Linked DNA regions of Macaca fascicularis. The protein of the gene in region 1 interacts with the protein of each later gene in a pairwise test. Links are inferred from orthologs where the notes say so. Each region holds a gene or a part of one and is shown on either strand. Other genes may lie near its edges.

What was found.
Region 2: the proteins of SPDL1 (region 1) and DNAAF4 interact in binary tests that used the Homo sapiens proteins (3 or more experiments, as listed by UniProt). The two-hybrid records come from large-scale screens. The link is inferred for Macaca fascicularis from reciprocal best matches to the Homo sapiens genes SPDL1 and DNAAF4.
Region 3: the proteins of SPDL1 (region 1) and CA8 interact in binary tests that used the Homo sapiens proteins (3 or more experiments, as listed by UniProt). The two-hybrid records come from large-scale screens. The link is inferred for Macaca fascicularis from reciprocal best matches to the Homo sapiens genes SPDL1 and CA8.

The regions. Positions count from the first base shown.
Region 1 is NC_088380.1:176,412,891-176,418,199, forward strand, and holds part of SPDL1 (protein Spindly), read left to right. Parts: intron 1-665; coding exon 666-860; intron 861-1,457; coding exon 1,458-1,607; intron 1,608-1,707; coding exon 1,708-1,806; intron 1,807-1,884; coding exon 1,885-1,995; intron 1,996-3,871; coding exon 3,872-4,012; intron 4,013-5,309. UniProt on the Homo sapiens protein: Required for the localization of dynein and dynactin to the mitotic kintochore.
Region 2 is NC_088381.1:31,926,410-31,931,718, reverse strand, and holds part of DNAAF4 (dynein axonemal assembly factor 4), read left to right. Parts: intron 1-2,124; coding exon of another isoform or gene 2,125-2,143; coding exon 2,144-2,253; intron 2,254-5,309.
Region 3 is NC_088382.1:70,156,626-70,161,934, reverse strand, and holds part of CA8 (carbonic anhydrase-related protein), read left to right. Parts: intron 1-1,380; coding exon 1,381-1,515; 3' UTR 1,516-1,547; intron 1,548-5,309. UniProt on the Homo sapiens protein: Does not have a carbonic anhydrase catalytic activity.

The DNA.
Region 1 (5,309 bases):
TGACTGATAATGATGTGCTTTTTCCCCCCTCTGATTGTTATTTTTATTTTTGCAATAGCTTTCATTACCTAAACAAGAGAGTAATATAGGGAGTATTCAGCAACTGAGGTAAGGCTAATTATTATAGAGATGGCTTTTATTTTTTTTTGGTGAAGCAAAGAGTAAATTTGTGAAATATTTTGTTTTACTGATTTTCTCAAATCACTTGTGCCAAAATTTGGAGTTCTTTTCAATACCTTTTCTTCTCTTATTTCTCACATTAATTCAAGTTCTAAGAATTTGACCTACAAAACACCTATGATGCTACTGCCACTCCAATCCAGACCTTCATCATCTCTTCCCTAGACTACTGCTGTAGCCTTCTGACCAGGTTGCTTGCTTCCATTGTTTCTCTTCATGCCACTCATTATTCACACAGTAGCCAAGTGGTCAGCATCACAGTGCCTCCAGATTGCTTCTGAGGCATCCAGACCCACCCTGATTACTCATGGATTGTTTCTATGTTTATTAAACAAGGTGTGTCACTATCTGTTAAAAGATGCCTAATCTTGGGCAAATAGGAAACTGCAATAATGTCATCATTCAGTAAGTTTGGTTCAATCAGTGATGTTTTTTTAGAGAGAAAATAACTTTCAATTTATGACTTTTTTTAAATTTGGCTTTAGATAGAAAAACTGAAAGTGGAATTAGATGAAGCTAGGCTTAGTGAAAAGCAGCTGAAGCACCAGGTAGATCATCAGAAGGAACTCCTCTCTTGTAAATCGGAGGAACTACGTGTAATGTCTGAACGTGTGCAGGAAAGCATGTCTTCAGAGATGCTGGCTCTTCAAATTGAGCTGACAGAAATGGAGAGCATGAAGGTAATTTTTATGGCATGTGGTTCTCAGGGTTTTCTCTTTCTTTTTCTGGCATATTTTTACATGTTTTGGTAGTAATTCTTAAGAGCTAGTTTGAAGGCTGAAACATTTTTTGACCTAATTTGCATCTAACTAATTAAAAAGTGGGGTTTTTTTAGGTGGATGACTTCAATCATAATATAGCTTTAGATTGTATGATTATGTAGGGCAGCCTTTCTTTTAAATTAATGAAACCTCTGGAAGAATTTAGAGGCATATACTCTGATCCCGGTTTTTATCGTTAAGAGCCCAGTGTAAAAAGTTGGCTCAGTGGAAGCTGAAATGCATGTGAACTTAGTTTTTTTGTTGAAAGCTAAGTTTAATTAAAAATTAAAGCCTGCAATTCATAGAGGAAAAAGGGCAGTCTCTAAAATCATTTGTTTCCTTGGTGAAAAATTTAACAGTAATAGTAATTTCTGTTATTTTAGTATGTACCTGACAACTTTTGACTGGTTCTTTAGTTTTAATTTTGGATGTGAACCACAACTGAGATAAACTGAGCAGCTGCCAAATGAAAGATTATTCAAGAGAATTTCCTCCTTTTCAATTCCTATTAAATAGACCACCCTCAAAGAAGAAGTGAATGAACTACAATACAGACAAGAACAGCTAGAACTTCTTATTACTAACCTAATGCGCCAGGTAGACCGGCTTAAAGAGGAAAAAGAGGAGCGAGAGAAAGAAGCAGTTTCTTACTATAATGCCCTAGAGGTACTATGATTATAGTAACATCATCTTTTCCAATTTATCATAACTTATTTTTTTTGCTAATCTAATGTCTATTGCCTAAATTGTTTTCTTTTGAATTTAGAAAGCTCGTGTAGCAAATCAAGATCTTCAGGTACAGTTGGACCAGGCACTCCAGCAAGCTTTGGACCCCAATAGTAAAGGCAACTCTTTGTTTGCAGAGGTACTTACAAGTATTCTAACTGCTAAATTGGCATTTTCCTTTACTACCAGAACAATTAAGCATGTTAATATTTTGTAGGTAGAAGATCGAAGGGCAGCAATGGAACGTCAGCTTATCAGTATGAAAGTCAAGTATCAGTCACTAAAGAAGCAAAATGTATTTAACAGGGAACAGATGCAGAGAATGAAGGTATAGAACTATCACTATCAAAGGTTTATTAAACAAATTTTATGTCAGCATTACATGTCTGAATACATCAAAGAAACGATCTTTTCCTACAAGGAGTGTACATATAGTTATTTCTAGAACTGCATGATTTCAAAAAATCAGTTTTGAAATTAATCAAAAGATTCATTTATACTTTAAAAATCTTGGAATAAATATTTAGTAATAGTATGTTTAGCAATGATTTTTTTGTTTGTTTTATTGGTTACTCACTAGCTTTGACTTAAATCTTTCTTTATGGAGTAGAAGAAAGAAAAGTATTTATTTCTTATTCTTGGCCTGATGTCTTTCCAGGCATAGCCCTGGTGTTCCTACTTCAGCTGAAACTCGCTGCCTCACCATTCCTCGCTCTTTCACCAAGGCTTATTGTGGAGTGAAATTTGGATTATTCAGGGTTCCCTTTCCTTGTAGCCCCTCAAGTCAAGCACACAGACCTTTTTAATTTTACGGATTTTGTTGGTTGTCATTCTAGCCAAATAAGAGGTAGCAGAAAAATGTGGAAATTAGAAAGATTTCAGTATTTTAACCATCCTTAGAATACTGATCCCTCATCCATTGTGCCTTGCTCTACTGAGGTAGTAATTGGAATGTGGAAAGGCTTCCTTCCTTTTATTCAGATGATGGGCTTTGCCAAAGAAATGGGTTAATGATTAAACTTGGGAGTTAGATAGATTTGGGTTTGAATCATAGTTTTGTCACTTTCTAGCTCTGTGACCTTGGACAAATATTTTAACTTTCAAAGCATCAGTACCTCATCTATAAAGTGGAGATGATAGAACCCCCTCTTAGAATTGTCCTACAGTTAAATGAAAGTGTAGTAAAATACTTACCTGCTACTTGGCAAATGAGTGTTTAATGAACAACAGCTGTGAATTTTATTTCTAAGGCAAATCGTGCTGCCTCATTTCCTGAGACTCTCTCCTGTCTGGGAAGTATTTCTTTATAAATTTTCTCATATTTACTTTAGTTTTCTTACAGTATTTGTCAGGGATACTTTTAATCTGCCAATGTTGCATGATGTCCCAAACTATCTTTAGAGACTAAAAGCATTCTGAATCTTAGGCTAAGTGGGCCTAGCCTCCAATCTGAAACAGGAACAAAAAGGATATCCTTTAAAATGTTAAAAGTCATCTGCAACCTCATATCTTTGCTTGCTTTACTCAAAACTATATTTAAACTAATAGGCACTCTTTTCAACTCCAGAAATTTCCAAAAACAGAAAGAAATGCTAGGTGTAGAGTCTACTTAATTTCCCTTTGATAGCTTTGCAACTCCAGATTTGGGGGGGGCGGGTAGGTATAATTAGGTAAGTCGAGTGCTCCTCTTAAAAAATTAAAACATGGTGTATTGAAGATTGCCCCACTATCCCAAGATAGCCTTTTATCTTTGCTTTTCATGTCATTTGTGAATCTAACATTTGTGGCTGTCAGTAGCTTAGTTTTTCTCACTTAATTAAAGTTAATTAAAATTTTTGAGAAACCCATCAGAACCTTAATGAGAGCGAGTGCTTATGATAAGCAGTCTGCAGCATTTGGCCGGGCTTACTTACCAGTTCAGTGGTGTCCTTTCAGACCACAATCATGCAGGTCAGTTTTATGTTTCACAAAAGTACAAATAATTATGTTACAGACTTCAGTTATCATTCATAAGTAGTCAGAATAAGTATTCAAATGTTATGTCTACAACAAAGTTTATTATTAGATTAGAAATAGCTAATTAGTTTTGTTTCCAAAATGAGTTCAAAGTAATGTAGTATAAACTATGAATTATATCAAAAAAGTAGTTATCAGAATCTTTCTCTCACTTAATTTTATTAGAGGGGGTACTTTTATTTTTCTAGTTACAAATCGCCACGTTGCTACAGATGAAAGGGTCTCAAACTGAATTTGAGCAGCAGGAACGGTTGCTTGCCATGTTGGAACAGAAGAATGGTGAAATAAAACATCTTTTAGGTGAAATTAGAAATCTGGAGAAATTTAAGGTATGTGTAACACTTAAAAAAACACACATCCAAATTTTGATTTGAATACCTTAAAATTTGGTTTGTATTTTAAGTTTAAAATATTAATAAGTATCTTGTGGGAGATACTTTGAGACTAAGTAAATGCCTGTTTCTCCTTATACTTAAACATCCGTTGGTGATTCTTGCCTGAAATACAATTCTGTGATGATTGCTAAATGGGTAATTCCATCACTTCTATATTTATTAGTTGGAATTCTAATAAAGGGACAGCAAAGAAAAATCTTTTCCCTTATTCATTCATTTATTTATATCAGTATAGCGCTATGGATTCTTTATTCTATGAGTTATAATCCATTGCTTGCTTTGTTTACTCTGATACTCAAATTGTCCTAGATTTGGTAGTCGAAGTGCTCTTACTTGAATACTTCCTTACTCTATGGCACAACAAGGTTTTCCTAGCTCACCTGCCCCAGCCCTGGGATTAGCATTTCTTCAAGGAACATTGGTTTATTTTAGTGGATAATGGTATTTGTGTAAGCATTTGTGTGTGTGTGTGTGTGTATAAGAATTCACCCATGTTTTCTAATACGTGTGTGGTTTCATTTTTTACATTTAAATATCTGATCACCACTGAAGTTTATTTTTGTGTATAATTTGAGGTATAAATCTAATTTTATCTTCCTATAAATAAGTAGGCACTTGTCCCAGAGTCATTTGTTAAAAAATCGATCTTGAGCCCAGTCATTTGAGTTGACACCTTTATCATACATCAGGTTTCCATGTATACTTGAGTCTGTTTCTAAATTTTCTGTGTATGCCATTGGTCTGCTTCTGTGTGTGTCAGTACCACACTGTTTTATTAATTATAAAGGCTTTAAAGTATGTTTATCTGGTAGGACTATTTCCTCACTATACTTTTTAATTTTCAGTGTTTTCCTGCCTATTTTTGAATGTTAGTTTTCATTTACAAACATCTTGCCTAGCACCAAAAAAAGCTTGTTGGCTTTCTATTAAAATTGCATGCAATTTAAGATTTTATAAATTAACTTAGGGAACATCGATATCTTCATTAACCTCCTAATGAACTAAAGTTTATAAATGACAAATTTTTGTAAATGTTAATAACCCCTTAGGCATTCTAAATTATAGCCATTAGTATGTCATAAAATCTTAATTAAGTTTACAAAATTTTATTTCTGTGTCTTATAAAAACTGTTGAAAGAACTACAAATTTGGTTAAATTGGCAGCCTTATGTGTTCCATCAGTGGGCTCAGAACTGTACTTTGAAAATTATGGCCTTAAATCGGGAATTTT
Region 2 (5,309 bases), on another chromosome or scaffold:
GAAGATCCTTAAGACATAATGACAAGCCGGGCACGGTGGCTCACGCCTGTAATCCTAGCACTTTGGGAGGCCGAGGTGGGTGGATCACCTGAGGTCAGGAGTTTGAGACCAGCCTGGCCAACATGGTGAAACCCCATCGCTACTAAAAATACAAAAATTAGCCTGGTGTGGTGGCAGGCATCTGCCAGCTACTCGGGAGGCTGAGGCAGTAGAATCACTTGAACCCAGGGGGTGGAAGTTGCAATGAGCCAAGATTGCACCATTTCACTCCAGCCTGGGTGACAGAGCGAAACTCCGTCTCAAAAAAAAAAAAAGTCAATGACAATATAAATATTAATTTTTTTGTATTATTAAACAATGTATTTTCTGTATTTATAACATTTCTATAAGTATACAGTTAGAATTATTTTTAAATTGTGTTTATACACATATACACACACACCCCTTTTTATTTTTTTAGAGTTGGGGTCTTGCTCTGCTGCCCAGACTAGAGTACAGTGGGGCAATCATGGCTCACTGTAGCCTTGAACTCTTGGGCTCAAGTGACCTTCTGTATATTTTTCAGTATAGAAGAATGAAAATACTATAACGAAGAAAGGCAAAATAATAATCACATGGGCTGGGCATGGTGGCTCACGCCTGTAATACCAGCACTTTGGGAGGCCGAGGTGGGCAGATCACAAGGGCAAGAGTTCGAGACCAGCCTGGCCAATATGGTGAAACCCCATCTTTACTAAAAATACAAAAATTAGCCAGGCGTGCTGGCACATGCCTGTAATCCTAGCTATTCAGTAGACTGAGACAGGAGAATTGCTTGAATCCAGGAGGCGGAGGTTACGGTGAGCTGAGATCATGCCACTGCACTCCAGCCCTGGAGGACAGAGTGTGACTCCATCTCAGGAAAAATAATAATAATAATAATAATATCACATGAACTCCCAGAAAACAAGAAATTTGGCTAGAAACTTCTATCTATTATATTTCAACCAGCTAATGAGGTTTAAAAAAAGTTTAAGGCCGGTCATGGTGGCTCAAGCCTGTAAGCCCAGCACTTTGGGAGGCCAAGGCGGGTGGATCACAAGGTCAGGAGTTCAAGACCAGCCTGGCCAATATGGTGAAACCCCGTCTCTACTAAAAATACAAAAAATTAGCTGGGCGTGGTGGTGCATGCCTGTAGTCCCAGCTACTCAGGAGGCTGAGGCAGAAGAATCGCTTGCACCCGGGAGGTGGAGGGTACAGTGAACCGAGATCGTGCCACTGTACTCCAGCCTGGGCAACTGAGTGAGACTATGTCTCAAAAAAAAAAAAAAAAAAGTTTAACAATGTATAAATATTGCAAGATTAACATCACCATCGTCGGCCAGGTGGGGTGGCTTATGCCTGTAATCCCAGCACTTTGGGAGGCCGAGGTGGGTGGTCATGAGGTCACGTGTTCAATGCCAGCCTGGCCAAAATAGTGAAATCTCGTCTCTACTAGAAATACAAACATTAGCTGGTCATGGTGGCACACGCCTGTAATCCCAGCTACTTGGGAGGCTAAGGCAGGAGAATCACTTGAACCTGGGAGGTGGAGGTTGCAGTGAGCCAAGATTGTGCCACTTGCACTCCAGCCTGGGTGACAGAGCAAGACAAAAAAAAAAAAAAAAAAGTTACCATTATCAAATAGTATGTTAATCTGCTCTGGCTGCTATAAATAAAATACCATAGACTGGGTGGCTTAAACAATGAAGAGTCATTTCTCATAGTTCTGGAGGCTGGGAAATCTAAGATCAGGGTGCCAGCATGGTTCTTGGTAGGAGCCCTCATCAGAACCTGTAGACAACCACTTTCTCACTGTGTCCTCACAGTGGGTGAGGGAGCTCTGATCTCTTTCTTCTTATAAGGAAAGTAAACTCATTCTGGAGGCTCTCCTCTCATGACCTAAACCTAATTACCTCTCAGAGGCCCCACTTCCAAATACTGATTCACATTGATGGTTAAGGCTTCAGTATATCAATTTGGAGGAGAAGTGGGGAAGACACAAACATTCAGTGCATAACAAATAATATTTCCATCCACTGGAGGAAGATGGAAAATCTAAAAGGAAATGTTAATTTTTAAAAAAGACCTTTTTCTTCTTCATAGGACTTCTTTCTCATTCTAGTGGCTACACAAACAAGCTGAGGCACGAAGAGCAATGAATACTGACATTCCTGAACTTTGCGATTTAAAAGAAGAAGAAAAGAACCCCGAATGGTTGAAAGATAAAGGAAAGTAAGTTGTTTGAACTCTGATCATGAGCTTTATCATGTATGAAGACATTAGTAGTTATCACAGGACGAGTATGGTAGCTCATGCCTATAATCCCAGCCCTTTGGGAGGCCGAGGTGGGATGATCACTTGAAGCCAGAAGTTCGAGACCAGCCTGGGCAACAAAGTGAGATTTTGTCTCTACAAAAAAACAAACAAAATAAAACATTAGCCTGGCGTTATGGTGAGCACCTGTAGTCCCAGCTACTCGGAAGGCTGAGGCGGGAGGATCCCTTAAGCTCAGGAGTTCATGGCGGTAGTGAGCTATGATTGGCCAGTGCACTCCAGTCTGGGCAACAGAGTGAGACCCTGTCTTTGAACAAAAAAAGTAGTTATCACATTCTCTAGATATTTTGTCTGTTTGTGTGTTGTTGCAGAAAGATAATCCAAATAAGCAAATAAGGTAGACAGGGCCTCCATATTTAAAAAGTCAGATAACAAGGCAATGAGGCTCTAATTTTATTTTTTTATTTAAATGTCATAAAAATGAAAAAAAAATTACATCTTTTGGAATGCTTATTAAAATTCCTTTTAAATGCCTTTTACATTTGACATAAGTCCTTCCTGATGTCTCCCATAAAAACAGACTTTTTGCAAAGCTAGAGCTGTTTTGATTATTCTTATCCATTTATTTTATTTATTTATTTATTTTTTTTAGATAGAGTCTCATTCTGTCACCCAAGCTGGAGTGTAGTGGTGCAATCTCAGCTCACTGCAACCTCTACCCCCCAGATTCAAGCAGTTCTTCTGCCTCAGCCTCCCAAGTCTATGGTTTTACTCTTGGATTACAGGCATCCACCACTACACCCAGCTAATATTTTTTGTATTTTTAGTAGAGACGGGATTTCACCATGTTGGTCAAGCTGGTCTCGAACTCCTGACCTCTAGTGATTCGTCCACCTCGATCTCCCAAAGTGCTGGGATTACAGGCATGAGCCCCGGTGTGGGACCTATTGAAATCCATTTTTAAAAGAGGACCATTTTACTGCCTTTCAGGTCACTGGCTCAAACACAAAGAAGATTACCATATTATCCCAGAAATTATCTTATATCTGGGCAGTCATTTTATTCATTCATTTGTATATGGATTTTTTTTTTTTTTTTTTTTTTTGAGACCAAGTCTCGCTCTTGTCCCCCAGGCTGGAGTGTGATGGCATAATCTTGGCTCAATGCAACCTCCACCTCCCAGGTTCAAGCGATTCTCCTGCCTCAGCCTCCTGAGTAGCTGGGATTACAGGCGCCTGCCACCACGCCCAACTAATTTTTGTAGTTTTAGTAGAGACGGGGTTTCACCATGTTGGCCAGGCAGGTCTCAAACTCCTGACCTCAGGTGATCCGCCTACCTCAGCCTCCCAAAGTGCTGGGATTACAGGCGTGAGCCACTGCACCCGGCCATGAATATTTTAACATACTGATCAAAAACAGTGAATTCTGGTATATTCTGAGTGGCAGTTTGTGTTCATATTTTGAGGCAGCTATAGATATTATTTATTATATTTCATCATATATGATTCTGTGTTTATTTTCCTATTGCTTCTATAACAAACTACCACAAAGTTTGTGGCTTAAAACAACACAAATTTATTATCTATAGTTCTGTAGTTCAGAAGTCCAAATGAGTTTTACTGGGCTAAAATTAGGTATCAGTTGCATTCCTTTTGAAGGCTCTAGGAGAAAAGCTATTTTCTTAAATTTCCAGCTTCTAAGCTATTTGCATTCCTTGGATTGTGGCTCCCCAGCCACTGATTGCATTCTTCTGAGCTCTGCTTCCATAGTCTCTTCTCCTTTTCTGACTCTCCCGCCTCCTTCTTTCTTTTATAAGGCCTCTTGTGTTTATATAAATCCCACCTACATCATCCAGGGTACTCTCTCCATCGAGCTCTTTAACTTAATCACATCTGCAAGGTCCTTTTTGCCACGTTAGGTAACATTCGTAGGTTCTGGGATTAGAATATGGACATCTTTTTTGGGGGGCGGGGGGCATTATCTGTCTACCACAATATCTGTATTTTTCTTTTCTTTTTCCTTTTTCTTGGTCTTTTCTCTTGTCTGTTACAACACCAGGAATTGTTTTGTGGCGTTTAGCTAGAGTTGGCAATTTTTCTGAAGGTTAGAAGCCTGGAACTGACAGGTTGGCTCTTCTAACTCCCAAGAGTAATACCATATATAATCTTTCCTCCTCTTTCTCTTCTTCCTTTCTTCCTTCCTATTCATTTATTCAGCCATTAAATAAGCAATTATTGATTGCTTGCTATTTGCCAGACTATAGGCACTGAACAACAGAAATCAGGAGGAGAGAGACATACACAAATACTTAAAACACTGTGTGGGAAGTACAATAACATGGATAAGAACAAGGTAATAGGGCCGGGCGTGGTGGCTCACGCCTGTAATCCCAGCACTTTGGGAGGCTAAGGCAGGTGGATCACCTGAGGTCAGGAGTTCGAGACCAGACTGAACGACAAGTAGAAACCCCGTCTCTACTGAAAGTACAAAATTAGCTGGGTGTGGTGGCGCATGCCTGTAATCCCAGCTACTTGGGAGGCTGAGGCAGGATAATTGATTGAACCTGGCAGGTTGAGGTTGCAGTGAGCTGAAATTGTACCACTGCACTCCAGCCTGGGCAACACAGTGAGACTCCATCTGAAAATAAAAAGAAAATTTCTGGCCAGGCACGGTGGCTCATGCCTGTAATCCCAGCACTTTGAGAGGCCAAGGTGGGCGGATTACTTGAGGTCAGGATTTTGAGACCAGCGTGGCCAACATGGTGAAACCCCATCTCTACTAAAAATATAACAATTGGCCGGTCACAGTGGCTCACTCCTATGTAATCCCAGCACTTTGGGAGCCCAAGGTGGGTGAATCACCTGAGGTCAGGATTTTGAGACCAGCCTGGCCAACATGGCGCAACCACATCTCTACCAAAACTATAAAAATTAGCGGGGCGTGGTGGCAGGTGCCTGTAATCCCAGCTAATCAGGAGGCTGAGGCAGGAGAATTGCCTCAACCCAGGTGGCAGA
Region 3 (5,309 bases), on another chromosome or scaffold:
TATAATCCCTTGATACACAGATGGTGAACTTTTGGTGTATTGATGCTGCCCAGATCACATATGCTCAATACCCTGGGGTGTATGAAGGAGATAGATTATACTGAATTGACTAGAATTCCTAAAGAGATGGCTGTGGAGCTGAGAAAAGAGCAGGTAGACTTGGAATCGTCAGACTTACCCACTAGCTAATCTGGTAATTTTCAAAACTGTTCCAGCCTCAATTTCCCCTTCTGTATACGGAATGAAGAATGTGTCGTGACTATCTGGCACTTAAGTGAATTAACAGTGAACCCTGTAATGAAATAGATAAATGGAAATAAGCCTGGGGAACGCTCATCACTTTTGCTTGTTGCTTAAACATTAATATTTCCCATAGAGTCATGTCTGGCAGGCTCTAGGTTCTTAGAGAAACTGTAGGGCGGCTGATGGGCAAGGTCCCTGAGGACTCTGAGAACCTCTTCACTTACAGTGGGGAAGCCATGGGACCTGGAGAGCCCAACCAAGAAAGGGAAATGAACTTGAAAATCAATATTGTGAAGACAGGAAGTTGGGCTCAGGCTTTTAGAAAATCATTTTTTGGACCTGTGCTCTCCAGAGGGCTAGAAAAGTTGCAAAAGTCTTTTGATGAAAGGAAACCTCGAATCCATCTGATAAATCTAAGATCTAATCAGTGTTTACATACAGTAACATAATAATTCATTAATTAAAATGTACTTGGAAAGCATTTAAGAGCACATTCATTTGTTCACTCTTTCTTATTATGCTATGGATAGGCATAAAACCTTTTTGGGAGAGGTATGTATCATTGTTTTTTTGAGATGGAGTCTGGCTCTGTTGCTCAGGCTGGAGTGCAATGGTGTATTCTCGGCTTACTGCAACCTCTCCCTCATGGGTCAAAGTGATTCTCCTGCCTCAACCTCCTGAGTAGCTGGGATTACAGGCGCACACCACCTTGCCCAGCTAATTTTTGTATTTTTAGTAGAGACAGGGTTTCACCATGTTGGTCAGGCTGGTCTTGAACTCTTGACTTCGTGACCCGCCCACCTCAGCCACCCAAAGTGATGGGATTACAGGTGTGAGCCACTGCGCCCAGCCTGTATCATTTTTACATTAACAAATGGAGCAGATTTCTGTGTCTCTTTGAGTTGTTCAGAGACCTTGATATGTCTACTTCTGTTGCCATCTCTTGAAAGGGTCCTGTCTAATGTCTTAGGTCTGGAAGAATTAAGTCTGTTTTTTTTTCTTTTGGAAGCTTAATTTTAATTTTCTCTTTAATAATTGTTGTAATTTATGCATATGTTATGCATGCCATTTATGAAACTCCAATCTTGTTCATGTCTGATAATTGATTAATCTATTTTCTTCTGCTTTTATTTTCAGATAGAAGAATTTCGAAGGCTGAGGACGCATGTTAAGGGGGCAGAACTTGTGGAAGGCTGTGATGGGATTTTGGGAGACAACTTTCGGCCCACTCAGCCTCTTAGTGACAGAGTCATTAGAGCTGCATTTCAGTAGCCAAAGAGGACAGGAACCCTATCTTCATGAGGGTATGTCCAGATTAAGTAAGGAAAATGAGGTGCACAGCTACTTAAACCTAGCATACCAAAGGTACACTTACGGTGATCCTGGTAATTTAGTAATAAAAACATATGTACTTCATCTTGATAAAATTTATGACACATTCTTGAGCTCTGTTAATTACAGGTCAAGTAGTTATTTTAATCTTATGCAGTATTGAAGAAAAACTACGATTATATTTTCCTATCAGAGTAGCCTTTAATTCCAAGTTTTGGTGGCTTTCATAAGGAAAGACACCCTGAGGCCCAGAAAAAGTGACACGCATACCTCTTTAGTAACTTACCATGTTGTCCCCTTGAAGCAGCACGAGTCATGTCCCAGTGACCAAGGAGCACACAGGAGGGGGCTTGGGGAACATGTGAGCCTCAGTGTGGATCCTACTTGTCTCCTGCACAATTGATCCTCTTGTTTCTCAGGGTAGGGAGCATATCTGGCATGCATTGAAATACTTCTTCTATGGAAGCGCTTTTTATTTGATAAATTGAGAAGCAGTTATTAATTATCTAAATATGGTACACTGTTGGTTGAAACATTATATATTTTAATATACTGAATTCAATGTATGTATTCCTTACTCTTAAGGAACTAACAAAATAAAATATCACAAACGTGTAAGAGATAAAATATTAAAAAAGACTATATATTGGATTATTTCTTTACCTTGTAAATTAACTAAGAGTGTATAGGTCATTGTACATCATTGGCAAACCATAGCTTCCTAAGGGGAAAGCATCTGTTGGAATGGAACCTAGGGAAGCAGCGAAATCTCATCTCTATAAACAATTTAAAAATTAGCTGGGTGTGGTAGCATACACCTGTAGTCCCAGCTACTCAGGAGGCTGAGGTGAGAGGATCACTTGAGCCTGGCAGGTGGAGGCTGCAGTCAGCTGAGATCGCACCACTGCACTCCAGCCTGTGTGACAGAGTGAGACCATGTCTCAAATAACATAAAACAAAACAAAAAAACAAAGAAGTCTGTCAGGTAGCCGAGGTGACAGATGCGGAGGCTTGGACACTAGAATAGAAACAGTGGAGGTGGAGAGAAGTTAATGTATGTGAAATAGAAATCACAGGTTCTAGCTCATGATGAATTGGATAAGGGGTGGAAGGAGATGGAAGTGTCAAAGATAACTTCTGGGGTTTTACACTTTGGAAACCCTGGATGGAGTGTCACTGAGTGGCAGTGGGAAAGCTGCGGGGAGGCCCTGTTTGGTTGAAGATGAAGAGTTGAGTTGCAGCACAGTGAGTGAGAGATGCCTGTCAGCCAAACTGCAATGGTGGACTCTGGTCGTGAAAGTCATTAGAATTTCCAGAGTAGAGAAGAGAAAACAAGTCTGGGTTGAAATAGGGAAGTATTGGGTGTAGACATTGTATATGTTCATATAATGCTCTGATGGATCTAATGGAGTTACTTAATTAAGTGTGTATAAAATCTTGTGGGAGGCTTTACAGGCAAGTTAGCCAAGACACAGAGAAGTTAGGCTACAGCCCAAAGTAATACAGTTATTGACCAGTGGAGCCAAAGCAGATCCAGGTAGCTTGACTGGCAGACCCCTTTTTCTTCACCACGACATGGGCAGAGGTTAAAGAGTTCTGCCACACTGGCGTTTGAGTGGCACATCAAGGAGGGATTCTGTTGCAGCAGGCTGAAGGACATAGGAAGGGAGGAGCTGGAGACTCCAGGTCGCAGCCACCTTGGTGGGCTGGGCTGGAGTGGGGCAGGAGGCCACAGCAACAGAGAGGGGGTGGGATTGAGGAAATCTTTTTTTTTTTTTTTTCTTTTTTAAACAAAAGAAATAGAACTTGTCTATATACTGGGGGATGGAAAAGGAGCAAGCAGATGGAGAGAGGCTGAAGGTGCTGCTTTTGGGAGGAGCTGGAACAGTGAAGTCTGAAAAGTGGAAAGGGATGAAATCCTAAACACACAGGGAGCCTGGCTTTTGCTGAGAGGATGGGCACTCTCTGTGCTGCAATGGGAAGGAAGAAAGAAGGAGGTGGTAGTTTAGAGCTGCTGTGTACCCATGACTTGCTCTTATCATTTAATGATGAATGGGGCAGGAGCTAGGAGCAGGAGAACAGTAGGGAAGATAGGATAGGAGCAGAGGAAAAAGGAAGGATGTGTTCATAGGAGAGGCCAAGAGGCAGCGGGGGTGGGATGAGGGTTGCAAAGCGTGAATGCATGCATTTATCCAGTCTAGGTTTAGTTAGTATACTCCCTGTGAATGTGAATAACTGTAAATGATACTTTTAATGAAGGGAGATTATTCCCTTGAATATCTGGTTTGTATCTGGTCCTAGACCAGAGTTGCCATTCTCTAAATAGCTAAATTACTATTATTATTTTCTGTCCCTCTTTTACACACACACACACACACACACACACACACACACAGAGAGAGAGAGAGAAAAACGTTGTTTATGAGATTTTGTATATTTCACGTACTTTGTATTCTTTATATGATAGATGAATAATGTGTAGTTTTTCAAAGTTTTGAGTTAATTACAATTTAGGTACTATTTCTGATAGGAAGATGGATTTGTATTCTTATCTTGGTGGCTGAGATTACTTAAAGGGCATAATTTGCTCCCAAATTCCTAAGAATAGTACAGGAATTCTAAGGTGACTCTAATTCTGATTTCATTTTTTTATGAATACATTTTTTATCCTTTTATCTTGAAATGTGTAATACAAATCTAGTCAGAGTTCTATATAAAAATTATATTGGGAATCAGACTTATGTGTGTGTACTTTTTATTTGATATTTAATAATGCCCTAAGGCAGGTAATTCAAATTTTTATTAAAGTGAAATGATTTGACAGTCACACTTTGAATTTAATGCATGAATGTTTCATTTAAGCTCTTGGAACTGAAAAGGAAAAGACATTTCTCTGGTAGTTGTTCTCTAAAAAATGTTTAAAATAATTCAGATTTATTTTAGCTATGTTTTACTGAAATAACTTTAGTTTTTAGACTTAAAATGACAGATTTTTTTAAAAAATGGCGTGTCTGGGCACCTGGAAGACTTTGATAACCAAGCTTTATTATTCCCATGAGTAATCTGTGACTTTTTATATTACCATTTAAGAAGTATGAACTATGATTTTGTATTATACTTGTTTAAAGAATTAGTATGTAATTCATCCAGGTGCTGGAGAATCTTTGGTTCAGCAGTGCTAGTTCAGATATTGATTTTAAATGATCCTTTACCCATTGACTTTTCTATATGATGCAGGAGAACTAAATGTATTTTAATAACAATGAACAAATGATATAACAAGTTTAAGGTCCAGTTTACTTGTTACTTTTGCTATCATGACATTGGTAGTAATCTTCCAACAAAATGATTATTTGATTATTTACCTTTTTATTTCATTAAGTGTTTGCCCATTTTTAAAAGACTATTCTGACTGCTCAAAGACTGCCTTGCTTGTGACCTAAATATTGTTAAGCTGTATACATGTTTATAGTAACTATAATGAATTATAATTATTTTCTGTAAAAAGCAATGCCACATGGCTCTTTAAATAGTTTCTCTTTTTTTCCCCCTTAAAGGCGGAAAAATAAGAATTCCCTAAATAGGTTAAAAAAGAAACAAAGACAGAAAAATGGGGTTATTCGGCAAGCATCTCCAAATAGTCCCATTGTCAAACTTGCCCTTATTTTTCTTTTGGAATCTTTGAAGTTATCCTTGACTATTGAACTCTTCCCTACTTGTACTTTTGCAGTTAA